4 linked regions of the Cricetulus griseus genome follow. The main gene of each other region encodes a partner of the protein of the gene in region 3 in a complex. Links are inferred from orthologs where the notes say so. Each region holds a gene or a part of one and is shown on either strand. Other genes may lie near its edges. The genes, in order: Ripk1, Zbp1, Casp8 and interferon-inducible protein AIM2.

Region 1 (7,683 bases), on a different chromosome or scaffold from region 3:
AAAGAACTGTTTAATAGCTAAAAATTTTGAAACAATTATTTAGTTGTTAAAGAATAAAGGATACAGTTAAACAGATTTGAAATTATTTTTAAAATAGATTATATGGCAGTTTCATAGAGGAAAAAAAGGCATAGGGAAAGACACCAAAATATTCACCAGCATTTGATTTACACTGTACTTTTGTTCAGCCAGTGTGCCTAGGTTTGCTTGAGATTTGTGATCCTCTTGCCGCAGCTTCTGGAGTGCTGGGATTATAACTGTAGCTCACCATGCTAGTAGCTCTTCTTTATACTTTTTTATATTACATTTTCTAGAATAAACACAAATTGCATTCATAACAAAATTATATTTTGAAAGAATCACACCTTAACTCAGTAGCTGTTTATTTTGAGGAATCAAACCTGAGACACTGAGAAATTATATTCCTAGTAATGTTACACAGAGCAGCAAAGGCATATACAGCAATTTGTATGCACAAAAGAGCTGTTAGAACTAACTCATCATGCTCTGAAATACAGCTAACATCTTTCAAATGTGAGGCAGGAGGAAAATGTTTTATGGGTGTGGGTGGTATACTCTTTAATTCCATTTGAGTTCAAGCTTAGTGAGCTCCAGACCAGTCAGAGATACACAGTGAGATCCTGTCTCAGAAAGAAAAAAAGCAAAAAGAGATGTTTGAGGAGAGATGACTTATTTGGTAAGGGTGCTTGCTGTTTTTGCAGAGGACCTCGTTTTGATTCTCAGCATCCATGTGGCAGTTCACAACCACTGAAACTCTACTTGTAGGGGATCTGAGCCTTCACAGTTACCAAGCACACATGTGGTGCACATACATATATGTAGGTAAAACACACATACACATGGGAAAAAAAGAATGTTTAAGAACACACAAAAAGGAACTGCCTAAGAATACTGGGTGCTGTAGGCTTAAAAAAAGAAAGAAAGAAAGAAAAAAGAAATAAATTGGTAAATAAACCATGCAAAATTCTTGCTGGATGGTGGTGGTGCATGCCTTTATTTCCAGCACTCAAGAGGCTGATCTATGAGTTCCAGGCCTGCCTGGTCTACATAGTGAGTTCCAGGACAGTCAGAACTAGAAAAACCCTATCTAGAAAAATTCACACACACACACACACACACACACACACACACACACACACACACACACACACGCTCACAGCAAATAAACTACAACCATGTCCCAAAATATGCCAATTCAAGTGTAATGATTTCACCTTTATAGTTCTCACTGGCTTATCTCTCCTACCTAGCCAGGCCTCCTGAAATTTCTCTCTAGAGCCTCCAGTGGTGTGGAACTAGGGAAGAAGGCAGAGCTAGGGAAGGTGGAGCTAGGGAAAAGGCAGGGCTAGGGAAGGTGGAGCTAGGGAAGAAGGCGGGGCTAGGGAAGGCCTCTACTATGCTTTGGGAACATGGTTCTGGATCTAAGCCAGTTTTTCCTCTAGTCTTGTGCTTTATTAGTCTAGTCTGATCTTAGCACAAATCCTCCTTTGGTGGATATTCAATTATTTCTTTCGTGCTTTTATTTTTTTCCCCTTGAATGATTCAAGTTTATGCTGCTGTTTTCTGGCAGGCTGGAGACAGAACCCAGGGCCACACACATGCCAGTCAAGTGCTGTGCTGATGAGCCCCAGTCAACTTATAAGCAGTGTATTTTGAGAAAGCCATGTGGGCAGTGTACTGAGGAAGACCCAAGGACTGCAAAAACACTGAATGTAAGGTAGAAAGCCAGATAATCAGTGCTTTAAAAATTAACTAAGGTATGTTGACCTGTTATAGAAAGCCATAACTAATTTCAACTAATACCATGTCCTTTTCAATGGGATTTGCTAGTGTTTTGGGATAAATGATTATTAATGCAGAAATAGGATATATATATATATATATATATATATATATTAAATAGTATTACATTTGAAAATATATAGTATTTATTTATTTACTATATTATAAATATAGTACTATTTATAAATTATATAAATAGTAAATATACACTATTTGAGTTCAAGCTTACTTAGTGAATTCAAGGTCAGTTAGGACTACACAGTGAGACCTTACCTCAGGAAATGTGTGTGTGTGTGTGTGTGTGTGTGTGTGTGTGTGTGTGTGTGTATACAAACCCCCCCCCAATGGCTGGACTCCCTTTAAACCCAATTAATTTTCTCTTAAATTTGCAATGACAATCATATATAATAAGAGCAGGAGGACAGAGAATCAGGGAATGAGAGAATATCAATTGAGTATTGTTTCCCATGTCTTCCCTAACAGAATTCTGACTTTACTCAGGTATGTGACACGATCAGGAGCCATCTCCAGGATTCTTTAATTAAAACAGTCTGTGCTTCGTCCACAAGCAGGGCAATGAACAAGGAATCAAACCATCAACAAAAGACAAAGTTAGAATAAAATTCAATGAAGCATGATCAAATACATTAGCACACTGTGACCCGTGAACTAATCTTATTAGGACTATTTTCACCTTACAAATAAAGAAACTACAAGTTGAGGTTAAGTGATTCACCTGAAATGAATGGATTCAAACCTTACCCTTCTCAGACTTCCACTCTCAGTTCTCTAATACATGCTGCTTTCTAGAAAGTCAAATAAAAATTTGAAAACCCCAGATGTAGATCAAACCTCAGATGCAAAGACCGAATTGTTGCCAGGCACAGTGATACATGCCTTTAATACCAGCACTAAGGAGGCAGAGGCAGGCAGATTTCTGGGAATTCAAAGCCAGTCTGGTCTTCTACATAGTTAGCTTTAGAATAATAAGAATTACATAAAGAAACCCTGTCTCAGCTGGCGTGGTGGTGCACACCTTTAATCCCAGGACTGAGAGACAGAGGCAGGTGGATGGATCTCAGAGTTCTAAGTTTGAGGCCAACCTGGTTTACAGAGGGAGAACCAGGATAGCGAGGGCTACACAGAGAAACCCCTGTCTTGAAAAACAAAACACACAAAATTAATATTATCCATGTCTTCACAGTAAGACACATATGCCAGAATAATATCCAACCAAAGTGTGGGAAACTATACTTTTTGATTCAATTCCAAGATTCTACTGGTGATATTAACATGTTATGAACTAATAAGTAGTAGAACCATTCCCAGTTTGCAACAGTCATGAAAACTTAACATTATGTACAAGGCTCAAAACAGGAAAGAAAGAGAAAAATGAAAATTAAAGTTGGTAACTGTTACTGCTACTTTTCAGTAATAAAACAAAATAAGTTTCATTTTAAACAAAACTAGTCTTCATTTTTTATATACAGCAAAGCCTTAGTGGTGTCTTCCCAGTGGGTACAAAATTACACGACTAAATCATTACATCTCAAAGTTCACACTGCCATTGAGTTTTCATGAGCTAAGAAAGAATTAATAGCTTTCTAAAGATTGAAGGACTTTTGTGGAATTTCCTGATTAAAACAGCCTCACTCTGCCCCAAATAAATGAGCAAGGAAATCAAAATGACCTACAAGAGGCAAAGAATGAGCCACCCTGGACCGAACCATCCAACCCCAGGAGGCTCTGTCCAACACCGGTGGAGAGGATGTGGCTTATCTTCTTCAGAACCCAGAGGGGGCTGCAGCAATCCACAAAAGCAAACGCCACTGAGGACCAGAGGAGCCTTGGACGTTTGACACTGTTCTCTCACTGAGGACGTGGATCGCTCCTCATTTGCTAGCTCACCTCTGAGATAATGATGAAAGCTACCCATAGCTCTGCAACCCCCTGCGGCCGAAGTACAACGTGGTTGGCAGGTCCAAAACATTTAGGCAACCTTGTTAGAGCACTAACGCTTCCATAACCCATCACCCCTACCAAAAGAATAGTGAAAGAGAAACACCTGTCGCACTGTCACTCCACAACCGTGGTCACGGCGCAGATGTCCACTTTCTGTCGCGACTTGAGCTAAAACCACCTCAAAAAGAGTTCAACCTCCCGCTAGATGACACCCAGCAACTCCCGCGCCTTTCGACTTCCGGGTATGCTGGCGGCCCCGCCCATCACCCGCTTCCGGAAAACGAGGCCCGCCCTCCGGCCCACGCGCTGGAATCCCGCGGTCGCCGCCCCTTCCGGGAAGCCAGCTGCGGAGGAAATGAGCGGCGGACCCTGCCGCGGCCTCCGCGCTGCCTTACCTCAGAGTTACTTTCCTTTTCCGCGGCCAGGCACTCCGGCCCAGGTGAGCACACCGACCCGAGGGCAGGGGCGACAGGAGCTGCGCCTCGCCGTGGCTGCCCAGCCAGGACGGCTCCTGGGCCGTGCGGAGGACGCAGGGACCGAGCTCGGTGCAGGAGTGGCGCCCAGCCGCGCCCAGGCTCACCGGACACCGCGCTTCTCTGAGCGCCCGCGCGGCCCTGCGACCCCCGCGAGGTGAGCGGCACCGACACCCGCGCTCGCGACGCCTCTCCGGGTCCGCTCGTCCTCCTACACCGGAGCTTCGCTGGGTGGGGCGGCGCTAGGCTGCGTCCGCCTCTGTCTCCGCCTCTGCTCACGCCCCGGGGCGGTGAGTGCGGCAGGGCCCGCTGGGCAGTGAGTTCCGCCGATCACGACGGTTCCCACGTCGATCCCGGAGGCCTGCCCGCGGAAACGATGCCAGTTCTGCTTTGCTTTTCGGCTCGTTCTGAGAGAGCCCTTGAAAAGAGGTGCTCCTAGCTGCTCTGTCAGGGCTGAGTCACCCTGGCCAGCTGGAAAACACCGAGTGCGACAGTGGCGATTGAGAGCTGGCAAATGAGCCTTCATCTGCCACGGCGGGCTGTGGAGGACGAAATGTGATTATTTTGTAGCCCTCTGAAATGGTAATTGTGAAATCTCAAGGCCAAAAAAAACAAAAAGTGTTATTACTGGTGTCATTAAGTTGCACGATAATGCAATGATCACTTATTCTCAAAAGATAATTAGTGGAAAGAGAGAGGATTACAAAAGACATGATAAAGAAGTCTTACTAATGCATGCACACAACCACCATCTTAAGAAAATTCACAACCATTTTAACAGAAACCTAAACATGCAGATAACATTAAAAAGATGTTCAATGTCATAGGGCATTATGGGAAACTCACCTTTGACTCAAAGTAAACATAAAATGCCCAACATTCACAAATGGAAGGAATACAGAATGTTACCTTTACGGTTACTGTGTGACTTAGCAGTTTCACACACTGGCATGTACCCAAGTGAACATAAATTTGATGAACAAACACATGTACCTAGGTTGAGCTTTTTTGTTGTTTATTTGGAGGGGCTTGAGGGTGTGTGTGCAAAAGTGCGCATATGTGAAGGCCAGAAGACTACCTCCAGTATCTCCCTCTAAGTACACACCTCTTTTTTTTTTTTTTTTTTTTTTTTTTTTTTTTTTTTTTTTAAAACAGGAAAGGACTCACTTACCTTTCGTTTGTGTAGTAGGCTAAGTATTCTGGTTAGTGAGCCTCAAGAACCTGCCTGTCTTTGCATCTCTGGTCTTGGCATCATGAGTGTCACCATGGCCAGGGTTTTTTTTTTTTTTTTTTTTTTTTTTTTAACACAGGTTCCAGGGATTTGAATTCAGATCCATTATGTTTGCCTGCTTGCTGAAGGAGCCCTGAGCTGTATTCCCCAGGTCCCTGTACTCAAGTTGTGTGTTTGATTTTGCTCTAAGACTTTTTTATGTTTTTGAGTGTGCATACCTGAGTCAGATTCTCCGGGAGGCATCAGGTCCCCTGGAGCCGGAGTTACAGGTGAGCTGTCCAATGAGGGTCTGGGAACTAAAGGGGTCTACTGTAAGAGCAGTATGTGCTTTTAACAGCTGACTCATATCTCCAGCCCCTGTATCTGGATTAATTTTTTAAATGTTTATTTTATATGTTTTCGTATCTTGATTGCATGTTTGTGCACCACTTGAGTGCCCAGGGAGGTCAGAGGAGGGCATTGGACCCCCTGGAACTGGAGTTAGGGATGACTAAGTCACCATGTGACTGCTGAGACTGAAATCCAAGTCCTCTGTAAGAACAACCACTGAACCATCTCTCCCAGTTCTGTGTCTGAATTTTTGTGGCAGCTTTTCATAATTGCCAAAACTTGAAAGCAAATGAGTTACTTTTCAATAGCTATAGTAAATGGAATACTATTTGGCACTAGAATGAATTCTAGAATGAAAGAATTCAGTGTTTTTGTTTTTTTGTTTGTTTGTTTTTTGTATATTCCTAAGTAAGAAATCAATCTTAAAAAAAAAAAAAAACTACACAATGTGATTTCAAATATGACATCCTCAATGAGGGAAATCTTTGGAGATTCTACAAAGCCAGTGGTTGTCAAGAGTTTGCAGGGAAATGATATACAAGTAAAGCATAAGGAATTTTCTTTCTTTCTTTCTTTTTTGTTTACAGACTGAAACTATTTCATCTGACTACAGTCCCATGCATACCTGTCATGGCATGCACTGCTCTTTCTACTCCACAGATGCAGAACCAAAAAGATGTAAAGCAATGAGGATAGGAAGATGGGAGAAGATTTTGTTTTTCTTTTTTTGGGGTAACAAGACTATGAATTATAGAGACTGAAAAGTGTCATGTGGGTCTATAAGCTGAAGACCTCATGTTGCTGGTAATGGTTCATTCTTAAAACTTGAGAGCTCAGAATTAGAGGAGCTGATGATGTGCCTTTACGATGTGTTGTCAGGTTTTATTACTGTTAACATCTAACTAGACCTAACTTAACAATCAGTTAACTTGAGAGAGAGAGAGAGAATAGTTCTGTACTACCTGAGGTATCAAGCATTAACTAGGCTACTTGAGATGTATACCCCACGAATAAGGAGGTACTATTAAATTGATATCCCTCTCTTCTCCTTTTTTTGCTTTGTCTTTCTAGGGATTTAACAAAGTTGCTGATCTCTTAAGTTAGGGTTTCATTTTCTCTTCTATTTTCAGGTTCATTGACTTGTACTATCTTTTTTGTTTGTTTTTGTGAGACAGGATTTCTTTGTGTAGCCCTGGCTGTCATGGAACTATCTCTGTAAACCAGGCTCTCCTCAAACTCAGAAATCTGCCTGCTTCTGCCTCCTGAGTGCTGGGATTAAAGGTGTGCGCCACCACTGCCTGATGACTTCTACTGTCTTTATTATTTCCTTCTGTTTGTGGTGGCCCTTTCCTTTCCTTTACTTGTTAGTCCTGGGTTATAGTTTATTGTTTTAAGACTTCCTTTTCTAATAAAAACATTTTAATGCTGTAACTTCCTTTTAGTCTTCCTTTTCCCACATCTCAGATGTTTTCATATATTTTCTTTTACTCAGTCAAATCTCTTATTTGACACATAATTCATTCATAAGTATGTTGTTTATTTTCCTAGTATGTAGTTTTTGTTTTTTGTTTTGTTTTTGTTTGTTTTTTGTTTTTTCCTCTTAGGACAGGGTCTTACTATGTAGACCTGGCTGATCTTGAACTCAGAGATTCACCTGCTTCTGCATCCTGGGTTCTAAGATTAAAGGTGTGTACCACCATCCAGGCTTCCATTATCTTTTAATTGGTTTCTAGTTTAGTTTTATATTAAGTAGAACATATTTTGTATAATTCCAATTCTAAATGGCTGTGATTCAGGATGAATGTTCCACATGTCCCTGGACACCATGTACACTCTGTTTTGCTGGGTAGAGTGTTCAGTAAGTGTCAGTTGGATCCAGTTGGA
Region 2 (7,368 bases), on a different chromosome or scaffold from region 3:
CCCTCCCTCCTGGAACCCCTCCCAAAAGAGTATCGGTAAAATCTGACCCTAAGGCTGGAGAGGTGGCCAAGTGGTTAGAGCACTGGCTGCTCTTCCAGAGGTTCTAGCACTCCCACATGGGGGCTCGCAGCCACCTGTCACTCCAATTTCCCTCCTCTGGCCTCTGCTGCCACCGCATGTATGTGGTGTATACACACACTCACAGGCAAACACTTATAACACATAAAATACATAAATCTAAAAACAAAATAAAACAAAATCTGACCCTAGGCCATTCAATCTTTACCCTTAACTTTTTCAGCCTGACCCTAGATGGCCCGATCCTGATCTTTGACCTTCCTGACCTGAACTTTGAACTTCCCAACTTGACCCTAGGCCATCCGCCCTGACCCCTGACCTCCCCAAACTGACTTTGACCTCTCATACCTAGCTCTTGACCTCTCCGACTTGAGTCGTAGATCATCCATGTGTTCCCATCATAGCTCAGGAGGTGCCTGTTCCTCATGGCGTACAGGTGTGGGTTCACCTCTTTGGCTGTCTTCATCCCCAGAGCCTTGGCGATGTGCAGGGCCCTGTGAGGCCCGCTGGTCTCCAGGAATCTGATGATTCTTTCATCTGCAAGTGAGGGGCAGGCGTTCAGTAGGAAGAGGGCCCTGGGCTTGCGTCTGCCCAGCACCCACTGGCTGTAACCTGGGGCGCTTATGAAGCCCAGGGGCATGGTCTTGCTTTGTTTGAGGCCCATGCTCCTACTGGGTACAGTGTCACCTGGAGACCGGATATGTGCATGAAGCTGGCTCAGGCGTGTCAGCGCCTGGAAAATAAAGCACTTCTTATCCATTTGGAGCCTTTGGCTTCTGACACCGAGTCTGGCCTCTGAGATTCTTGCGAAGCCTCGGTGGTGGACATGATCCCAAACACCCTTTCCCCTTGTGCCCCTAAGAGTAGTTTGGGGAGGCCTTTGGTGTGCACTGAGCTGAAGGCCAGGACTCCCTGGAGTTGTGCCTACAACTTTAGGGTCTTGGGGCTGGAGGAAGAAAAATGTGTCCATTGGAGACAGGAGACGCTCTGATCCACTGAGCAACGGGAACACTTCCACAGGACAGCTAGGGGACAGGACATTAGGCTGGGGTCCCAGGGTTTCACATCTGCTTGGGTCACAGCTGCTGGCTGCAGAAGGGCAGGGTCTTGAGGCTGCCTCCTCTCCTGGCTCCAACTGCAGGAGTTGCTGAAGGCTAGGTGGCCTTGGGTACAGCATCAGCAATGGAGCTGTGAGCCCTCTCTGCTCAGTGGCTCCGAGTGAATCCCTACTGTCATTGTGACAATTGCCTGGATTGTGCCTTTACTATTGCTAGTGTCTACCTCACACCTACCACGTACAAGCCCTATTGGTGAAAAGAAATCAAAAGATAAAGAGAGGATGGCAGAGCTCAGATTTGAAAGCCAAGCCTGAACCTGGACTTGCCCATTGTCAAGATGGCCCTTGAGGGGAGTCTGCTGTGCCCCCAAATGACAGATTACCGAGGGTGGGCTGGGCAGTGGGGTCCTCAGGGATTGCAGGAGCCTCATCTCCAGGAGCATCCCTGCCTAAACACCATGTGGCAGGGGCTGGTGAGTGAACTTTTCCCTCCTTCTTTAGGCGGTAAAGGACTTGGTTGAGTGTTTTCTTGGGCACTTGGCACTCCTTTACCAGCTTGGGGAGCTTCACAGAGCCGCCGGCTCCACTCAGTATCTGTAGGATCGTTTGCTCCAGATTGTCTTGGGGGAGGAACAGAGAGAAGAGTCAAGCCCAGCCCCCATTGGAGGCTAGCACCCATCTCCAGAGGTAAGAAAGATACGAGAACCCAGAGCCGACAGCATCGAGGAATCACTGAGAGGCAAGAGTGTCAGACTGAGTGGACCCTGGCCCCATGGCTGAATGGTGGGATGCACTCATACGGCAGAGGAGTGTACATGCTGTCCTGTGTATTGGTGTGGAACCCCAGACAGGTAGGAGCCCTCAGCTCTCAGATGATGGAGCCAAGCCTGGCCCGGAAGCCCCTCCACGCTGCCTGGTGCCTCTTCCAGCCTGTATGGAGAGTCCCTTTCTCTCCATCTCCCATGGATGCCATGGGCATTCCTAGGTCTCCCTTCCCATTCCAGGTGGATCAGGAGCCCTGAAAACGCAGCTCAGATACCTCCCACTTACTTTTTTCTCCCTTACCCCAGCCTCAATGACATCTTCCTGGTAGCATTACTAGTCTCCCAGGTGACCACCAACTCCAGAATGGTTCCCTCCAGCACCCTCTACCTAGAGATCCGATGGACCTCTGCTCCCTGCCCAGCCTCCTCTGCGCCTGACCCCAAGAGCCACCCAAGTTCCACCTCGTGCTCCTTCTGGTTCCTTCCATCTGCCTGCTTCTACCTTCCTTTGTTTTTCCTCTTGAGACAAGGTCTCACCATATATCTCAGGCTGGCCTGGAACTCACAGCAATCCTCCTGCCTCAGCCACCCCCTCCCCTGCTGGGATTATAGGGCTGGGCTTCCACTCTGCTTGCTTTTTCTCTGCTGGGGCGTGTATGTCCTGCAGTGGGCTCTCCTGCCCTCCCTTCTCCCACTGACTCCTAAGGGCACACAGGCAGAGCTTTCTCCAAAGGGTGAGCATGAAGGAATGGATGGTGGTGACTGGCTGGCAAGGAGAGTATTAGGAAGCCACAGGGACCAGGTGAGGGTTAGTTTCTGGTCTTCTCCACCTGGCCCTGAACCTGCCACTGCCCTGGCTCCTCTGCCTTTGAGCAACATGCCCTAGCATGGTGCGAGAATGGAAAAGGGTGACTTTGGGGGCTGCAGAGATGGCTCAGGAGTTAAGAGCAGTGGCTGCCCTTCCAGAGGTGCTGAGTGTGGCTCCCGGGAACCACGGAGCGGCTCACAATCACCTAGAATGAGACCTGGTGCTTCTTTGACCAGAGCACAGCCGTGCATTCAGGCAAAACACTGTATACACAGTAAATAAGCATATCTTTAAAAAAAGTTTCGAAACAATGAAGAAAAGCAGTAAAGTAAATCCTGTCCACAGCTGCACGGCCCCGATAGCCTCGCCTCATACAGTCTTTCACCCACAGCCTCGCACTGCCCTGTAGCGGAGAGAAGAGCATGAACATAGAATCAGAGCCAAATCTTCTTATCAAAACAAAGTCCCCTCTCACAGTTCAGAGCCTGAAGCCCATCGAAGGCCTCAGTGACCTGTCTGTGAGGTGAGAGCTACCACTTGTGCCTGAGGGCTGTTAGGAACCAGCCTAAGCAAGGGTCAAAGTGTGACGCACAGGGTCCCCGAAGCAAGCTAGCTTCTTGTGGTGCCTGCTTCCTGAGCTCTGATGTCCTCAGAATATTGCTGCTGTCTGGGCCAAGCAAAGAATTAGAAGGAGCCTTAGAAACCAGCCCAGGGTCCACGCTGCGTGGGGGAAGGAAGAGGCTCGCCCGGCTTACCTCCTGTGCTCGGATCAACAGCAGCTTCTGCCATGCTCATGGCAACCTCAGGGCACCTTTGGGGCGGGGGGTGGCAGATTCCCGAACTGTGGCCAGGCCTGAGGCCGTGTCCACAGAAGAAGAGCGGCTTCTTGGAGCTGCAGACACCATATGTTTCCACCCCGGAAACGAGCACCCATCTGGCTCCATCCACCCAGCTTTCTGGAGAAAGAGAAAATGAAACTTGGTGGTTCTCGAAAGAAACGTTGAAATCAGGGTGGGGTGAGCAAGTTGGAGCTGAATAAATGACGGGGATGAGAGGAGTCTTGGCCTCTGGGGTGGGAACTGCCTATCTGGACTCCCACTAGGAAAAAGGTACCTACTGCGCATTCCCTACTTGCTGACAGGGCAGGACTAGTACTGTCATCCACATACCTTCTAGAAAAGGAGCCCCTCACTTTCATACATTCTCAAAGAGGTCAGTGGTCCTCGAACAGTTCGGACATCACTCTGTTCCAATTACAGACTAAGGGACTGAGCTCACAGAGATGGCCTCGTGCCCACAACTCAGCCTACAATAACCCTGAATCTGGGTCCCAGCTGCAGGAGGGAGGTCCTTGGCACCGGTTAGCATTAGTGCATAGGGCATGACAGGAGCAGGAAATGGAGACCAGAAGGAGGTATATATGTACCTGCAAAATGTCTGCAAAGCAAGCTGCAGGTCCCCAGTCAGCCTTGTCACTGGACAGGCCACGGCCAGGCCAGTTCCACACAGCCAGTTCCACCGGCCTGTGCATGGGGAAACTTTAAAATTTCCAAATGATTTTTATGACTTCCAGGGGGAAACCCAGAGCCTGCAGATGCAGCTAAGGGAAACAGAAAATTGTACAGCCCGTTGAGCCCCCCAAATAAATAAGGTCACCCTTTAAACACTCAGCTGAGCCAGTTGAGGGACATCAGGCTCCCTAGAGGGGCTATTTGGGGACCAACCACTAGGTGGTGCCCTCTCATCAACCGGCTCTTGCCTGGGGGTCTTGCTTGGTCCTTGGCCAAGGTGGCTCTGGCCCTAGAGGGCTGGGCTTCAGGACATGCCATGAGAACCTGACACTGGGGTTCTGCTGTGAACATCTCAGCATTCCCTATTCTTTATTGTTTTTAATTTTTGAGACAGGGTCCCACTCTGTAGCCAAGCCTGAATTCAGATTCTTGACCCCTCCATTATCATTTCTTGAGTGGCAGGACTGTATCACAATACCTCTTGGACAACCCCCCACCTCGTCCCCCCAGACAAGGTTTCACTGTGTAGCCCTGCCTATCCTGGAACTCGCTCTGTAGACCAGGTTGGCCTGGAACTCACCGAGATCCGCCTGCCTCTGCCTCCCGAGGGCTGGGATTAAAGGCGTGCTCCACCATTGCCTGGCCAAAATCCTTCTAAACTTTTGGATTATTTCTTATTCTTTGTCTTTGTTTAAGAAAAACCTCAAGCCAATTTTCAATGCTGGGATTATCCCAAGCCTCCACAGCTGTGGACTGGGCAGATGGACCTTTTCCCTCTTGTGCATGACACAAGACTCCAGGTACTCCAGATTTGGTGCAGCCACCCGGCTTCTTTTTAAACTGTTGCTCTGCCATTTGTAGCCTCTGTGCTTAAGTTTTTCAAGGGTTGCTGGAGTTCCACCTGTCACACATGCTCTCCTTCTGGCAGGAAGGAGCAAAGGACGGGTATCCTAGGCAGTTTCAGCAGGCAGCTGAGTACAGGGCCATCTGAGGGAGTCTCGGTTGCAGGGTTGCCCAGGTCTGATTGGCTGTGGATGTGTCTGTGAGAGAATTATCACGGTTGGTGTGAGAGGACCCAGAACACCGTGGGCAGCATCATTCCTAGGCTGTGAATAAAAAGCTGGTTGAGCATGAGCCAGGAAGCAACATCCTCAACGATCTTTGTTTCGGGTTCTCACAGCTCTTCTTTCTGAGATGGGCTGTGAACTGTACGCAGAAATAAACCCTTTCCTCTCCAGCTGGGTTTTGTTTGTTTCTGTCATAGTGTTTATCACAGCCGGAAAAACTCAACAAGCACCATGGACATCTCCCTTTAAAGATCACATCCTGCAGGCCCCAAACACTACTTCAGATCACAGCAATATCTATCGCAACAGATGTTGGCAGAGACCTAGGTGTCCTTGTCAACTCAAGGCTCTTCCTCTGCATGGAGGCCGTCTCCTGCCCCACCCAGCATTTCCCAGCTTCTTTCTCTAGCAGATGCTACTCTGAGTCTGATGGGGTTCAAGGCCAATGGGGAGGGAAGGAGGGAGGGAGGGAGGGAGGGAAGGAGGGAAGAAAGGAAAGAAAGCAGGTAGGTGCTTCCTCCTCCAGGCTAGGAAGGGCCCAGACATACAAATGGCATGCCAAGCTGCTCTCTTTATCCTGGAGAGCACGCTCCTTCCAAATGGCTCATGTTTTTCTAGAAACTATTAGAACTCTCCGCCCAAAGCAGGGGATAATTACATGTTACTGATCTCGAGTCTTCAGGTTTTGTGATCTCTCTTTTAAAAGAGAGATATTTTTACCACATATTGTGTTGGCAAAACCCACCTCCTTCCCTCCCCATAACCAGGCTCTGGAAGGAAGCAAGGAAGGAAGGAAGGAAGGAAGGAAGGAAGGAAGGAAGGAAGGAAGGAAGATAGGAAGAAAGGAAGGAAGGAAGAAAGGAAGAAAGGAAGGCAGGCTGCAAACTTTGTTTGGTCAGAGGTCAGACATAGCTGGTGACAGCAAGGGGATAGTTTATGGCAGGTGTGTTGGGGTGATGAGCCCCCTCTTCAAATCCCTGGGGGTGGGCGTCCTGCAAGACAGAGCAATCAGTGGGTCTCAGTGTTACTCTGTCCACTGGAGGCTAGCACGCTTGGGCATCTCTTCTCAGCCCGGGCCTTGAACACGGCCCTGATCTTTATGCGTGTTAGTTTCCCTTTGGCAGTGGGATACCACAGTTCTTAACCCAGTACTGGCTGCATCCGAGGTTCCTTCAGAGAGCTCAGGACATGGTACAGGCTGCTTGCTTTTTGTCACTGCCCCCAGCTGCCTCTCTGATTTGGCCAGACACTAGCCAGCAAGCCCCAAGATCTCCAGATTGTGCCAACCCTACCGCTGGAGTGCTGGAGCTGTAGACATTTGGCTTTTATGTGGGGATTGGGGACTTGAACTCAGGTCTTTATGCTTGTACAGTGGACACTTTACAACTGAGCCATCTCCACAGGCCCCAGAAAGACTGTTAAAGAAAAATTATTTTACAGATTATCTGCCCACAAGAGATTCACTTAGTCAAAGCTGGCCATGGTTTCCTCGCCAAGTATCACTCTTGGGAATGCTTACTGGGTGAGACTATTTCGCCATAAATTCTCTTCAACTATAGCGAAGTATCATGAAATTTTCATGACAACTAAATGGGACGATTAATGAATTTGACATGATGCTTTGGTTTCCAGATGGTTAATTAAACATTTACTATGGTGTTTTTTTCTTTGTCTCCATGGTTTGAGGCCCAAACTCTTCCCTCTCTTTTATACTCAGACTCTGACCTGCGGGTGCTGTGGGTGTTGCATTCTCAGTCACTAACTTGGGCACCTAGTAGGCACACAGCCAGCCAGCACGGCTGTCCTTGGCTGGGCTAGGCCTGCCTCTACCTTGGTGTTTGTGGCTCTCTGAATGATCCAGAGGCTCACGGGGCACCTGGTCACAAGGTGCTGATAAAGGTGGTTGATGTGTGGGGTGGAGGACGAGCTCTTTAGGCTCCTCCTAGATTCTCTCTGTAAGGAAACTTGAAGGTGGGCAGCCAAGTGCTCCTGGTCCAGCAGGAAGAAACCACAGCAGTTACCAAAGGACTGAGCTGTTCAGTAACCCTGAGCTGAGGCCCAATGGCAGCTGGGCCTTCTGCCT
Region 3 (6,900 bases):
ATCTGAGATCAGAGGGGACTGTTCTGCCAACAACAAACTGTATTCAAGGTTGTTTCCACTTGTTTGTTTGTGCTTTCATTTGTTTGTTTGAGACATGGTATCATTAGCCCAGGTTGAACCCAAACCTGCAATATAGCCAAGGATGGCCTTAAACTTCTGGTCTTCCTGTCTTCACCTCTTGGGTGAGGGATTACTGGCATGTGGCACCACTCTCAGTTTCTGTGGTTCCAGGATGGAATTCAACAGCTTTTGCATGATAGGCAAGCACTCTACCAGCTGAGCTATACCTTAGTCCCCATGTTCTCACTTCTTACCTGGGGAAAGTAAAGTAGTGAGGCAGGGTAGTAGTTATTTATGGCTTTGATGCCTTGACACTGTAAAGTGCTACTACTCAGCCATGGGGCAGACCCAGGAGACAGAGTAGGCAAGTTGGGCAGTGCCACAATACATGGGACCAAGCAGGGCCAGGGAGGAAATGCAGCCTGGGGTCACATCTTCCTCACCTCTGCTGCTTTTGAAATGTCACGTTTGCTTGTTTGTTTGTTCCCCCAGTGTGTGGTATGTGTCTTTATGAGTAGGTTGTATGATGTATGTGTCTGTGTCTACATGCTGTGTATATTGTGTGTGTGCTTCTTTTTTCTTCTAATACATTATTTAATATCTTACTATGTTACCTCTCTCTAATATACTCAGTGCCTCAGTGACAATAATGTCATCCAGGCCCCCACAGGAACTACAGTGGGGAAATGAATACACAGTTTGCCTATAATAAGCCCACTCCAACTTCCCTTCTGTTTTTAGGTTTCCTTTTTATTAATTTTTTTACATTCCAATCCCAGTTCCCTCTCCTTCCTCTCCTCCCGGGCACCTCCCATCTGCTCCTCAGACAGGGTAAGGCCTCCCCTAGGAAGTCTACTAAGTCTGTCTCATCATCTCACTGAGGTGGGATCAAGGCACCACCTACCCGCTTCCCTGTGTCTAGGTTAAGCAAGGAATCTCTCCATATAGAACGGCTCTACTAAGTCAGTTTGTACATTAGAGTTAGATCTTGGATCACTGCCAGTGGCCTCATATACTGTCCCAGTCACACCATTGTCAGGGAGTCTAGTTCAGTCTTATGCAGGTTCCCCATTTGTCAGACCTGAATCAGTGATCTCTCACTAGCTCGGGTCAGCTGATTCTGTGGGTTTCCCCATCATGGTCTTGACTCCTTTGTTCATATTATAGCTCCTCCCTCACTCGAGGAGCTTGGCCCAATGGTTAGTTGTGGATTTCTGCATCTGCTTCCATCTGTTTCTGGAAGAGGGTTCTAGCTTCTCTGGCGTTGTGGATTGTAGGCTGGGTATCTTTTGCTTTATGTCTGGTATCCACTTATGAGTGAGTACACACTACATTTGTCTTTCTGGGTCTGGGTTACCTCACTCAGGATTATTTCATACCATTGAGTAGTACTCCATTGTGTAAATGTACCACCTTTTCTTTATCCATTCTTCAGTTGAGAGACATCTATGTTGTTTCCAAGATCTGGCTATTATGAATAAGGTTGCTATGAACGTGTGTGTGTGTGTTGTGTGTGTGTGTGTGTGTGTGTGTGTGTGTGTGTGTGTGTGTGTGTGTGTTTGTGTTTGTGTGTGCTTCTTATGTATATGTGTGGCATATGTACCTGTGTGTGTGGTGTATACCTCTGCGTCTCTGTTGGTCTGAGTCTACCTATGTGTAGTACATATGTGTATGGGTTTCTCCCCACCCCACCCCCCGGTGTGTGTGTGTGTGTGTGTGTGTGTGTGTGTGTGTGTGTGTGTGTGTGTGCTTTTGTGTGCTGTGTGGTGTATTGTAATTCTGATGTTTGCTTTGTCCAAGTGTATCTTTGTACATTTGTTTAGTGTGGGTGCATACGAGCGCACATGAACACGTGTGTACATGCTCATGGCCTCTCTGTGTGTGTTTGGTGCCCTGCACATGTCTCTCTCTCTGTATGTGCATTCGCTGAGGTTTAGAGGTGGATAAGGCAATGCCAGAGTATAATGCAGTCTCCAGGGCTGTTCTTCCCACACTCCTCCAGGCTGGTCCATAGATGAAGGCTTCCACAGATAGTTTGGGAACAAGGCCTGGGGACTGGTGACATCTGACATGGCTTCTCTTTTTTTTCTATGTTTTTATCCTTTTAGGCCAGAAAACACAGAATGGCCTTCCTGATTACTGTCAACTTTGAGGGATCAGTATGTGCTCAGGGGTGGGAGGGCGATCTCTGTGGGAAATAAGACTGGGCTCTTGCTTTGGAAGAAGTGGAATTAAGGAAACAAAAACCTAGTTCCCAGGCCTGAGCACTCAATCCATTTGTCCCTTGCTCTCTCCTCCCCAGAGCCTGCTTGATATTTTTGTGGAAATGGAGAAGAGAGTCATCCTGAGGGAAGAAAACTTGGATGCCCTGAAATCAATCTGTGCCCAGGTCAACAAGAGCCTGCTGGAGAAGATTGAGGCTTATGAAAAATCAAGCAGAGGTAGACAGCTGATGGTTATGAGGCGGCAAAGCCTCCAGAGCCACAGCTGTTTCTGATCTAGCTCTTCCTTTTGAATGCAGGGAGAATGAGCCTTGAAGGAGGGGCAGAGTCGCCAGTTTCAGTTTTAGATGGTAAGACTTCCAGATTCATTTCTTTGATGCCGAGGCACTTAATTCCCTCTTACTCTCTTCCCACCACCTTCTGCCATAGCCTAATATCAGGATGAAAGTTTGGTGGTCACTTGTCACCCCTGCGGCTCTCTGGGAGATAAAAAGAATTTGCAAAAGCCCTATGGGAACATTTGAAATGAGCACAGTTATTCTACAAGTGGGTCTTAAATCTGTTCTGGCTGTGTCTTCTTTTCCTTTGAGATGTGGGTAGCTAGATTCAAATAATTTTCCAGAATATTCTTGTGTTTTGATTTGTTTGAGACAGCCTTGGCTGTCTTGGAACTCTCTACGTAGACTAGGCTGTCCTTGAAATCACAGAAACTGGCCTGCCTCAAGTGCTAGGGTGAAAGGCATGTGCCATATCACACCTGACTTTTTTTTCCCAGAACATTCTTGATCAAAGCTTTTGGCTTTGGGAGAGGCCCTTTGGCCAAGTGTTCATAGTTCTTCTCTGTTAAGTCCAGGCTCCCACTGCCCCTGAATTCCTCCACCATGTGGCTGCCCCAGCCTGGGATGCTCCAGCCATATTCCCTGCCTTGACTACTGAGCTGTCTCTCCAGCCCCCTCCAAATTTTTTATTAATCAAATATTCTGACTATAAAAATCATATGTGTTCCCTTGGGGGTGATTCTTAATTTTAGAGAAAATGTGAACAGCACCACCAGTCTGTAAACATTAATACTGGTAATAGCCTTCTTATGTTTTCACTATTGTTTTTGCTGTGTAATACATTTTGGAGCACTCTGCTTATTTACTTTAAGTTCACATGTAAGTGCATGTGGGTGAGTGAGTTTATGCACTCCACATTTATGCAGAAGCCTGGCTATGTCAGAAGGCAGCATCAGATCCCCTGGAAATGGAGTTGCGGTGCTTGTGACTGTGAGTGCTTGGAATCTCTGGCCCTCTGCAAAGAGTGACAAGCTCTCTTCCACTCAAGGATCACCCTCCTTTAGAAATGAGGCCAAGTACCAGCCAGTTCTTCCCTCTATTCATGCCTACCTGAGCCCAGCAATTTCCGAGTACCTTTGGAAAGTTTGAGTCAGGGACTGACTCATACTGACCTCTTGCTTTGATCAGACCCACCGCACAAACAAGGCAGTTTGCACTTGGGTTTCCAGAAGCATGCTAAATGCCCTTCCTACAAGATCTACACATATGAAATATCCTCAAGGCAGTTTCAATGATTATTTTTAAAAGGACCGGCCTGTGGGGGCCGGTGACTTACATTAGTAGGTAAAAGTGCTACTTTCAGGCCCAGTGAAAGGGGAAGGAGGGAACCAACTCCTCAAAGTCCTCTTTGATCCCCACACATGAGTGCTCCCTACATCAGGCATGTGTGCGTGAATGTTCATATGCATGCATGCATGCACGCAAGTATGTTGACATGAAATGTTTTAAGGTCCTTAGGTTGTCCCAAGCGTTACATATTTCTTTACCGCCAAGCCCCTCATTCTGGATACTTTTCTTGGTTGCTTGCAGGGGAGAGTTACTTCAGAATGCAGGAAACGTGGGACTCCCAAAGAGAACAAGACAGCGACTCACAGGTACACCTCCTTGCTCTCTCTGCATGGAAGTTTCTGTCTCTTGTGTTTGTTAGCTCCTTTTAAGCTTCCAGATAAGCTAATAAGGGGGTGGAGCCTTTTGGAAATTTTGAGAACTCTGAGGAAGAAAAACCTACAAAAGAACCAGTTTTTTTTTTTTTTTTTTGGTGTTAAATTATGTATCACTATTATCTCTGTTCAGTTTGTTTGTATTCTGAGACCGGGTCTCCTATAGCTCAGACTGGCCTTGAACTCATTATGTACCTGAGGATGACCTTGAACTCCTGATTTCCCTGACTTTACTTCCCAAGTGCTGGGATTATAGGTATGGGTCACCACATAGGCTCTAATTTTATTATAAGGCACAGGAATTGTTGGAAGGTAGAAAGTGTGTGAGGCCTCCCTCTTGTTCTAGCAGCTGTGTCAGCTAAAATGAGTGCTTGTGGGGGAGGGGGTGAGGCTTCGAGAACAATGGCTGCTTTGGTGGGGGTGGGGTGGGGTGGGGGAGTTGCTCTAGCAGGCTTCTCTTTTAGCCTGACATTGCAGAGGGATCCCCCCTTTGTGTTAGGCAACAAACAGGATCTCAGCAAGTCTTAGTTTTCATCTCAGGGAAGCCTGTAGAAAGATTTCCTTCCTAGACGTAGCTTCTATTTATAGTCTTCAATAATTCACCGATTACAGTTCAGCCCATTAGCCTCCTCCCCGTGGCAGGAAGCACGAAGCGTCTGGACACTTTGAGAAAGGATATGCACTAGGGTGGCCTTCTGAGAAGATTCTCAGGCCTTGTTCTCAGGTCCAGAAATCAAGAATTAGTCAACATCATATGTTACTTTGAGATGGTCTGGCACTCTACAGTATTGTCCTCTCCAAACAGCTAAATATATCATGTGAATATCTTATTAACTGCCTGTATTACAATATCCCAATAAATCTACTTAATATAAATAGGAGATACTTAGGATAATAACAAATACTGAATATACCCTGTGTTTAATAAAGTACCTTATGTCACAGAAAACATTGAAAAGTGAAGGATTTGTACAATATGAAGAGGAGCTCAGTGTGCTATAAATTGTTAAACACTAGATTAGCTAAATTGCCCAGAGTCCTAAGGTTTTAAGCCTTAGAAGCTGGCTTTTGTCCCCTAGTCTTGGGTTCTTTTCTGTATACTTCAGGAGACAGCACGGACTTCCAACTAAATACTGGGACTCTCAGCTTGAAACAGCCCTAAGAGAAAAACAAGTATTCAGGCCCTCTGGTGTTTACTGTCAGGATTCCATAAACACAACTTGAGTAGTTCCTTGCTCTCCACCTGCTGCCCAGTTCCTTTGCAGTGGCTTAAGGCATCAGCTTTAACCAGAGAGACTGCACTATATCATGTGCGAAGGGCAAGTCCCTCGCTGTTAGCCAAGAAAGGCAGATGAGCTGAGTAGACCCCAGAAAGATTGCCAAGGTCATGGAGGGCCGTCCCAAGAGGTCACCGTTGAGTGAACTCTTAAAGTCCCACATGTTATCTGGCCTGAAGCTCTTCTGGATGCTGAGGGAAGCTGAAGCAAGCACAGTGGTAACAAACTGTGATAATATCAGGGATGTATGTGACATCTGGGGCACTTAGCAGGCCCAGGTCCCCTTACTGTACAGCTCATGAGAGGCTGTGCAATCGGAGGAGCAGAAAGTAGCTTTTCAACAAGATGACCCCAAATCTGGCTGGAGTAACGGAAGGAAGCAATGCTTCCCAGGGGAGCTAGGCAGGGGTCTAGCCTCTTCCTGGGCAGTTGTTACTTACAGGCTGGTATCTGAGCTACAGCGTCAGCTCCCCAGACTCGGCTTTTGTTTTCCAGGTATCACACAGAATTTACCAAATGAAGAGCAAACCTCGGGGATACTGTCTGATCATCAACAATAATGATTTCAGTGAGGCGAGGAAGAACATACCCAGATTCCACAAAATGAAGGACAGAAAAGGAACAAACTACGATGAAGGTACAGCCAAATCCAAAGAAGAGGCATGAATAATTTTTAATTCCTGTGGTGCTTTTAAAAAGAAGAGACAATAGTCCTAAAGGGCCCTATATTTTGAGAAATGGAGTCATGGTTCAAGAAAATCTATCAAGCATTTATTTTTATTCATTTTATTACTATTTCCTTGTGGAGGTAAAAGAACATTCTTACATATCTGTTCTGAGTTTTGTAATTAGGTTTAAAATCAAAGTAATATATACATTGTGATAAAATGACAACTCTTACTAAAAACTTTGTAATGAAGAGCATGAGTGAACTTTAGAAATTTTTAAGTTTTATTTCACTTTTTATTCATGTGTATATGCCTCTATGTGAGTATGCCCATGTGTGTGTGGATGCCCCTAGAGTCCAGAAGAGAACATCAGGTCCCCCTGGAGCAGGAGCTGGGAACTGAACCTGGGTCCTCTGCAAGAACTCTTCACCGTTGAGCCATCTCCCCTGCCCTGAGTTTTCCTTTTAACTCACTAAATGAAAAGTGTTTCTGTAGAATGAATTAGTCCAAAAAATTGCTGTGGTATCAGAGTAACTGCAGGGATTTTGCTCATAAAAGTTATTCCATTGCAGCAGGAGTTGTGAGTGCCCAACAAAATGCTAAACTATCCAGAAATGTTTGGAGCAGCCTATCAATAATTCATAATATAAGAATATAAAAAATGGGGGCTGGAG
Region 4 (7,447 bases), on a different chromosome or scaffold from region 3:
GGTAGGAAATGGAGCATGGCAAGAGAGAAAATGCCTGTTACTTTTAGCTTCAGACATGGCATGCATACAGGAATAAAATGACCAAAATAATCTCTGTGTCTATTTTTAAATTAGTGCTCAGCTCTGACCAGAATGTAAGAGAGGAAAAAAGGCTCACAACTGATTCCTTTTCTTAACATTGTCCAGCAGGGTTGGCTCTATTCTCATTTTTACTTCAGTCTACTCCCCAAAGGACAAACCCAAGCATCAAGAGAATTTTTAACTGTTTTTGCCTCTCTCCAATTTCTTGTGTATCATTTCTCTTTCCCCAAATCAGTCATACCAACAAAAAAAGGATGTGGAGGATTTCAAGACTAATTTCAGAAGCTAGTTTGAAACCTCATTAATCCCAGTGGTCTGGTAGAAAAATCTGTTCTGGCTACTGTTTTCCTCTGGGAGGTATATATATATATATATATATATATATATATATATATTCCTCTCTCTCATCTTGACTTTTCTTATCTGCAGTTTGTTTTTGTTTTCTTTTGCAAAACGTTTCACCTCTCTCCAAGAAGACATTAGGATCTGTGCAGGGTCACATAGTTGTGTGTTAAAACAGAATATGAAGAGATAGTGCTGATATTATGGGGTGGAAAGAAACTGCTCCAGGACTGGGCAGTTGGGGCAGGAGATGAGAGTGCTTTTCTTCTGTAACTGAAGTAGAGTGTGAATTACAGGGCTTGGGGAAGGTGATTTTGTCAGTAACCTGCCTGGCATTCACGTGTGAGGAGATGAATTTGGATTCCCAGCACCCAAGTTAAAAGCTGGGCATGCATAACACATTGCAGTTCCAGACCTGGGAAGGCAGAGATGGGTAGATCCCTGGACTTCTCTGGCTAGCATTCCTAACTAAATCATTGAACTCCAGGTTCAGAAGAGACCCTGCCTCAAAAAATAAGATGGAGAGCAATTAAGGAAGACACGAAACCTTGACCTCTAGCATACACACACACACACACACACACACACACACACACACACACACACACACACACACACACTCACACACACACACACACACACACACACATAAACACACACACACACACACATGAATACACATATCACACAATGCACTTCAGAAATTAATCAATAAATCAATTAATAAACAAATAGAAAACAGGCTTGAATCCAGAGTACCTTGCTTTGCTTACAGTAGCTTCACGTGGTTCTCAAACATTTTAAGTGTGCAGCTGAGAGGACTGAATTTTATATTGCATTTAATTTTAATTAAAACATAAACTAAATTCAGTTTCTAGAAAATCAGTATGATTAAAATTACTTGAATATATAAGCTTACTTTTTAACTGTAAATTTTGTGAATTTTGAGTATATATAAATATAAATTTAAATATAGATGAAAATTTATCATCAGAATTGATGAACTCTGAGAACAGAATACACACCAGAGTTTTGAAGACATAGGACACATTTTGGGTACTTTTGATGTTAATCAAACATATTGGGTTGATGTTATTTGTTTTTGTTTTTAATGTAGCTACTAGAAAAGTTAAATGTTGGGGAGCCCTTTTGAGGGCCTTACCCTGCCTGGGGAGAGATGGGGGGATGGCTAGGGGCAGCTGGGATGTTGGGGGGGGGGAGAAGAAGAAGGGATTGACATGTGAAACAAGCTTGTTCTTAATTTGAACTAATAGAAAAAAAAAGAAAAGTTAAATGTATGTACTTGTTTATATTTCTATTGGTCTCTACTTTCCTGGTACAGAGAATACTTGGGTTAGAATTCCATGTCTTTCCTTTTCTAGCTCTAAGATGGGAATCAAAGGCGTTTTCTAGTTCTTTGATGAAGCCCTGCCTGACAGTCCCTACTGCATAGACTCCACGTGAGATGTGACTGATTTCATAAGCAGGCAATCCATGAAGCATCCCTGACACCTGGTGTGCTCAACATATGCTATTATTATAGTTTGAAGTTTATATTTATCATGCTATGGGGAGAGCAAGAAACTGCAAGAGACTTAAATGTCAGAATTTGTCTCCTTCTTAGGAAAGTCTTGCAGCAAATGTCCATTCCTTCCCGTTAGATTCTAGATGGACGGCAGATGCCTAAAGCCTGTCCTCACGATGAGCTGCTCCACTTCAGGTCACTGCTTGCCGTTGCTTAAGAGTCTCTTCTTAATCACCTTCTTAAGAATCTCTAAAACCCACAGCTAACAGGTGGGTGTCCAGATTTAATTTAGAAAAGCACTCCAGTAAAAAAAAAAAAAAAAAAAAAAAAATGTGGCACCAAGCCAGGAGAGTAATGTGCTCTGACACTGCCTGATTTGTATTTATCTGATGGGGTTGGTTCCCCATCAGTTAAATGTAGATAATAGGAGATAAATGTGAGGATTTAATAAGCAGCATGGCAGATAGAGCTCTATAAGCCACACAGTGCCATGCCTATGCCAATATGCCCTCCTTTGAGACCCACTGCAGCAGGATGGGCCACGCTTCCCCCACGCCCAGAACATACAGTTGCTTCATGGGAGTATCCCTAAGGACCTTCACTCTGCGCTACTTTCCTTGCAAACTTGTCTGTGACTAAACAGCCAACCCCTACGGTGCAAAACCATCTAAAATTCCTTTCTAAAGAAATACAAAAAAAAAAATCAGCACTTATGAAATAAACTAGTAAATCAAGCAGTTGTTCACACATCAGCTCATTCTGTCCAGTCAGGCACCTTGCAAGTCTTTGAGGAAATCAGTCACCAATCAGGTAAGATTTCTTCATTATTATTCTGAAAAGTGTAAATTTACATAGTAGATAGTATGCAATAAGGATGTGGGCTGGGGGTATGTGGTAAGACTCAGATTAGGTGGTCACACTACGTCTCTTTGAGAAGGTAACATTGAAGCAACCTATGAATTACAGAGATGAATAGAAGCAGTGTTTCTAGATTCAGGGGAAGGTACACAGTACTAACGGAACTGGATTGTTCCCTTTAGCTAACTGTATGCAAGTTCACTTCACTGAAGTAGTAAACTTGATCTTACATGATTTCTCCAAAAGCTATCTCAAAAAGGCATTATTCTTTTTTTTAATTAGAAACAAGATTGTTTTACATGTCAATCCCAGTTTCCTCTCCCTCCCCTCCTCCCCTACCATCCCCCCAACCAAAACCCTACCTATCTCATATCCTTTCTCCTCCCCAGGAGGGTGAGGCGTTCCATATCCTTTGGGATAGGGCCTAGGCCCACCCCTGTGGGTCTTGGCTCAGGGAGAATTCCTCTATGTGGATTGGGCTCCCAAAGTCCACACCTATGAAAAAGGCATTATTCTTGACTAATGAAAAATGACTTGTCCCCACAAAATTTATAACATGGGACTTATGAAAACATGACCAGCATAATACACATCACTGCGTAAATACTCTTGAGCATATTTTTTAAAAAGAAGAAAGCAAACATGGATGGGAAATACCATAGGAAAGACGGTCACACAAAAATCCAAGCATTTCAAAGGACAGAATTCACAGAAATTAGACTCCCAGCTTTAAAAAGAATGCTAGGTGGATTAAAACCCACTGTAGGCATTATGGTGTTTACAAAAGACACACTGAGGGTATTATAATACTGAATAACAGGAAAGCAAAGAATGTGAGCATATGTATGAGTCAGACACTAAGCACAAAAAAAAAAAAACAGTTAGGTCAGTTATATTAATATTCGTCAGAGAAGATAATAAGACAAATAGTGTCATTAAGGACAGAGCTGCTATACAATGATTAAACATTAAAGTCACCAAGGCAACATAGAAATTCTAAGCACGTATGCACCTCATTGTTAAAATTAACAGCTCTAAGCAAAACTTGACAGTTCTCCACGAACAAATGACAAACCTACTCTGATAGTTGGAAATTACAAAACACTTCCTTCAGTAACTAAAGTTTCACATAGCCAAAAAAAGCAAAAAAGTAGAAAAGTTGAACAACATAATGTCCTGATAAATACTTAGAAGTACTTAGCACATTTTCAATAAGTCTACAAAGGTTATCAGCGAACTGTTTTCCTTTGTATTCTAATAAAATGTGACAGCCAAAAGCAACACAGGGAAGGAGTGGGTTTATTTTTACTCACAGTCCCAGGAGCGTGGATTTCAACACCACAGGGAAGGCGTAGCAGCCGACAGGGAAGGCATTATGGTTGGTCGCCACGTAGGGCATGAATCTGGCCAATTTCAGTTCTTGCTCATACAGGAAATAGCGGAAGAGTGAGACAGCCTGTCCCAGTGGTACACTTCATCCAATAAGGTTTCTTCAGAAAGTTCCACCTCCTAACACTACCAGAACCTTCCGAACCGCCAGTTGTATATTCAAACAACATAGTTATCATATGAATCATCGCTTTCTAAATTCTAGGAATTTACTATGAAAAGGAAAAATAAGATACAATTTAAATTATAGAAACTTAAAAATTGTTTCTCATACTTAATAAACTAAAAGAAATAGAAATTAAAAAGCATACATAATTTTTAAAAAATAATAAATGCCATGCCACTTGAACATCTGAGATTATGGAATATGTTATCTGTTTAGCATTTCTTTTTTGTTTTGTTTTTGTTGTTTGTTTGTTTGTTTGTTTGTTTTGGTTTTTCAAGACAGGGCTTCTCTGTGTAGCTTTGGAGTCTGTCCTGGAACTTACTATATGTAGACCAGGCTGGCAACAGACTTGCAGACATCCACCTGCCTCTGCCTCCCAAGTGCTGGGATTAAAGGCGTGGGCCACCACCTCTGGGCTATACTTGGCTTTTCTTAAATGGTAAGGTTACTTATAATAGAGTTTGGTGCTCTGCCACTTTCAAGCTAATGTTACATCATAGGCATTCTGCCACACCATTGTTACTATCTTTTATCTAGGAATAGCTCTCCAGTCCCTATGTTTCTTTCTCCTTCAGCTAGAAATCAAAGGCCCTCTTCCAAATATAAATTAAATTCATGTCAGTAAGACACCTACAGACCAAGGCTCCCAGAAAATCAGAGTTCCTTTTTAGGCGCAGTCTGGGTCAACCCTCTGAACAATATATTCTAATTCCTGCCACAGCCAACTGCATGTTCTTTTGTTAAAGGCTCAGTTGTGGTGAAATAATAATAATAATAAAAAAAAAAAGCTTCTATTCCTCAGTCAAGCGAAGGTTTAGAACCAGGCTTCCTGCAGCTTTATTCTTTTCTGGAGCATAGTCAATACTGATGCTCCTTTCCAACCCCAGAAACCTACAACTTCCATTTCCTCTTAATTTGCTATTAGCAAAAGGATCCTAAAGCTTTTTCTAGAAAAATTCTGACAAGGCTTACCTACTGGATTCCCTCTCCACAGCAGCCTCAGTTCTCAACTCAGGGATTAGTATATGCCCTAATAGTTTAAAGCTCTCCCTCACAAAGCTTTTCACTGCTAGTGGTAGGACATGAAAATCAGGTCTTGAGAGATGGAAAGTGGAAAGTGTGATTGGTTCCTTTCACTTAGAAACTTCCCTAGCCCTGGCCGTGTAGCTGAGTTCCGAGCCCTGCTGATAGGAGGCACGATAGTTATGACATCTTGAGGCTGTGCCCAAACAAGCACATGTTTTCAGTTTCCTTTTTCCAACAAGCCTCTGCAGCATTTCTCCTACTGCCGTGAGATCTCAGCCAGAGATATTTTAGATACTGGGAACTTCATGTAAGCCAAAACCTCTTCTTTTGTTTCCTGTTAACACTAGGCAGTTCACAGTCTAAGAGACAAAACCAGGCCAATGCACACATTTGGGAAATGCCAGGCTTGATTTGAACTCCCTGCTAGGCTGGCTCTGAAAGTGGGGTTGTTCTCCTGCCACTTTAGACCCCAGCATGTTTGTCTCAAAGGTTTCTTATCTGGGTGTATCTAGTCTCCCGCCTCCAACTCAGTGTGACAGGGAGGACAAAACAGCCCAAGAATAAAAATGTGGTGTTCTTAAAAACAACCAGGTCAAGTATTTCCAACAGATTTTTATCCATGACATTTAAGGGTCAACCAAATGAAAGAGAATCCAGACGTTCAGCCATGGAGAGAAAGTTAGCTGCCTTAACTTCCTGGGTTGATTTCTGCTGGGTGTTCTAAGCATCCGGTTTGATGAAGTTTTCTCTTACTGGCACTATTTGTTCCTTATTTGGAAACCTCACTGAAGTTCTGCTTTGCCCAGGACTCTCTTTATTGGAAACTTCAAATGACTGCCCTAAAGGGGCTTCCCCAGCCTATATCTGCTTAGTGTCTTGACTTTCCATTTGGATGATGCTTTACCACCTCACTGTTGTTTTTTATTTTATTTTTACTTTTATGTATTTAATAACTTACTCATTCAAAACTGAAAATGCATTTATCACAGCTCATTCTCTGGACCATACAGTTGTCTTATGTTATTACTAACTGCATTGTTTTCATTATTCTACTTTATGATTAATGGTTGTTGGTAATCTCTTATTATACCAAGTTTATGCATTAAACTTTACCTCATTGGTTGTAGGAATAGGACAAAATATAATTCTTTGTTGCATGTGATTTCAAACATCTACTGTGGATCTTAGAATGCATGATAAATGCAATTATATAAGAGACCGGAAGGAATTCCAGTCAAAGCTGAGGAAATATCCCAAGTATAAGGAACTAGATTAATAATATCATCAGACAGCAAGATGGAAAAGACAGAAAATCATATCACATAAAGCGATGAAAGTGGAGGAGGGAAACTGACCTGCCAGACAAAGGGAAGAGACTGTATTAGTAGAACTCAGAACTACAGCCTCAAAACTGGCAGTAAAAGATCCAGTAAAGCCAATAAAGTAACCAATTCTGCCTTAAGAGACCTGCACTTCTAGATTTCCATGGTCACAAACAGTAGTAAGACTGAAATTGTGTCTTTGGATGCTACTAGGAGAAAATGCTAAAATATGGGGGGCGGGGGAAGTGTTTTCATCCGTGTTCTATTCGGATGAAGAGACACCATGACTATGGCAACTCATATAGAACAAAACATTTCATTGGAGCTGGCTTACAGTTTCAGGGATTAGTTCATTATTGCCACGGCTGGGAGCATGGTGGCATGCAGGCATACATGGTGCTGGAGAAGTAGCTTAGAGTTCTATATCTACATCTGCAAGCAACAGGAAGAGAGTGCCAATGGGCCTGGCTTGGGCTTTTGAAACCTCAAACCTTACTCCCAGTGACATACCTTCTCCAACAAGACCTCCTAATCCTTCCCGATGAGTAAGCATTAGAATAGATGAGCCTATGGGGGCCATCCTTATTCTCTCTGCCACAGAGTGTCCTGGATATGTCTTTTAAAAGTTGCAAGAGAGAGAGAGAGAGAGAGAGAGAGAGAGAGAGAGAGAGAGAGAGAGAGAGAGAGAGAGAGAGGGAACAAAACAGGACTGGATTTGGCTATCAAGTTGCTTTTTTC

What was found.
Region 1: Casp8 (region 3) and Ripk1 share a complex: the UniProt entries of both Homo sapiens proteins name them as parts of the AIM2 PANoptosome complex. The link is inferred for Cricetulus griseus from reciprocal best matches to the Homo sapiens genes CASP8 and RIPK1.
Region 2: Casp8 (region 3) and Zbp1 share a complex: the UniProt entries of both Homo sapiens proteins name them as parts of the AIM2 PANoptosome complex. The link is inferred for Cricetulus griseus from reciprocal best matches to the Homo sapiens genes CASP8 and ZBP1.
Region 4: Casp8 (region 3) and interferon-inducible protein AIM2 share a complex: the UniProt entries of both Homo sapiens proteins name them as parts of the AIM2 PANoptosome complex. The link is inferred for Cricetulus griseus from reciprocal best matches to the Homo sapiens genes CASP8 and AIM2.

Annotation. Positions count from the first base shown.
Region 1 is NC_048596.1:253,840,729-253,848,411, reverse strand, and holds the start of Ripk1 (receptor-interacting serine/threonine-protein kinase 1), read right to left. Parts: upstream 4,299-7,683; 5' UTR 4,161-4,298; intron 4,024-4,160; exon of another isoform or gene 3,869-4,023; intron 282-3,868; exon of another isoform or gene 157-281; intron 1-156. UniProt on the Homo sapiens protein: Serine-threonine kinase which is a key regulator of TNF-mediated apoptosis, necroptosis and inflammatory pathways.
Region 2 is NC_048599.1:6,096,687-6,104,054, reverse strand, and holds the start of Zbp1 (Z-DNA-binding protein 1), read right to left. Parts: upstream 4,009-7,368; 5' UTR 3,877-4,008; intron 3,664-3,876; 5' UTR 3,503-3,663; coding exon 3,463-3,502; intron 1,756-3,462; coding exon 1,519-1,755; intron 616-1,518; coding exon 427-615; intron 1-426.
Region 3 is NC_048595.1:413,126,849-413,133,748, forward strand, and holds part of Casp8 (caspase-8), read left to right. Parts: intron 1-2,362; coding exon 2,363-2,501; intron 2,502-2,581; coding exon 2,582-2,632; intron 2,633-4,150; coding exon 4,151-4,215; intron 4,216-6,053; coding exon 6,054-6,195; intron 6,196-6,900. UniProt on the Homo sapiens protein: Thiol protease that plays a key role in programmed cell death by acting as a molecular switch for apoptosis, necroptosis and pyroptosis, and is required to prevent tissue damage during embryonic development and adulthood.
Region 4 is NC_048598.1:19,570,590-19,578,036, forward strand, and holds the start of interferon-inducible protein AIM2, read right to left. Parts: upstream 4,269-7,447; 5' UTR 4,120-4,268; intron 3,188-4,119; exon of another isoform or gene 3,169-3,187; intron 1-3,168. UniProt on the Homo sapiens protein: Sensor component of the AIM2 inflammasome, which mediates inflammasome activation in response to the presence of double-stranded DNA (dsDNA) in the cytosol, leading to subsequent pyroptosis.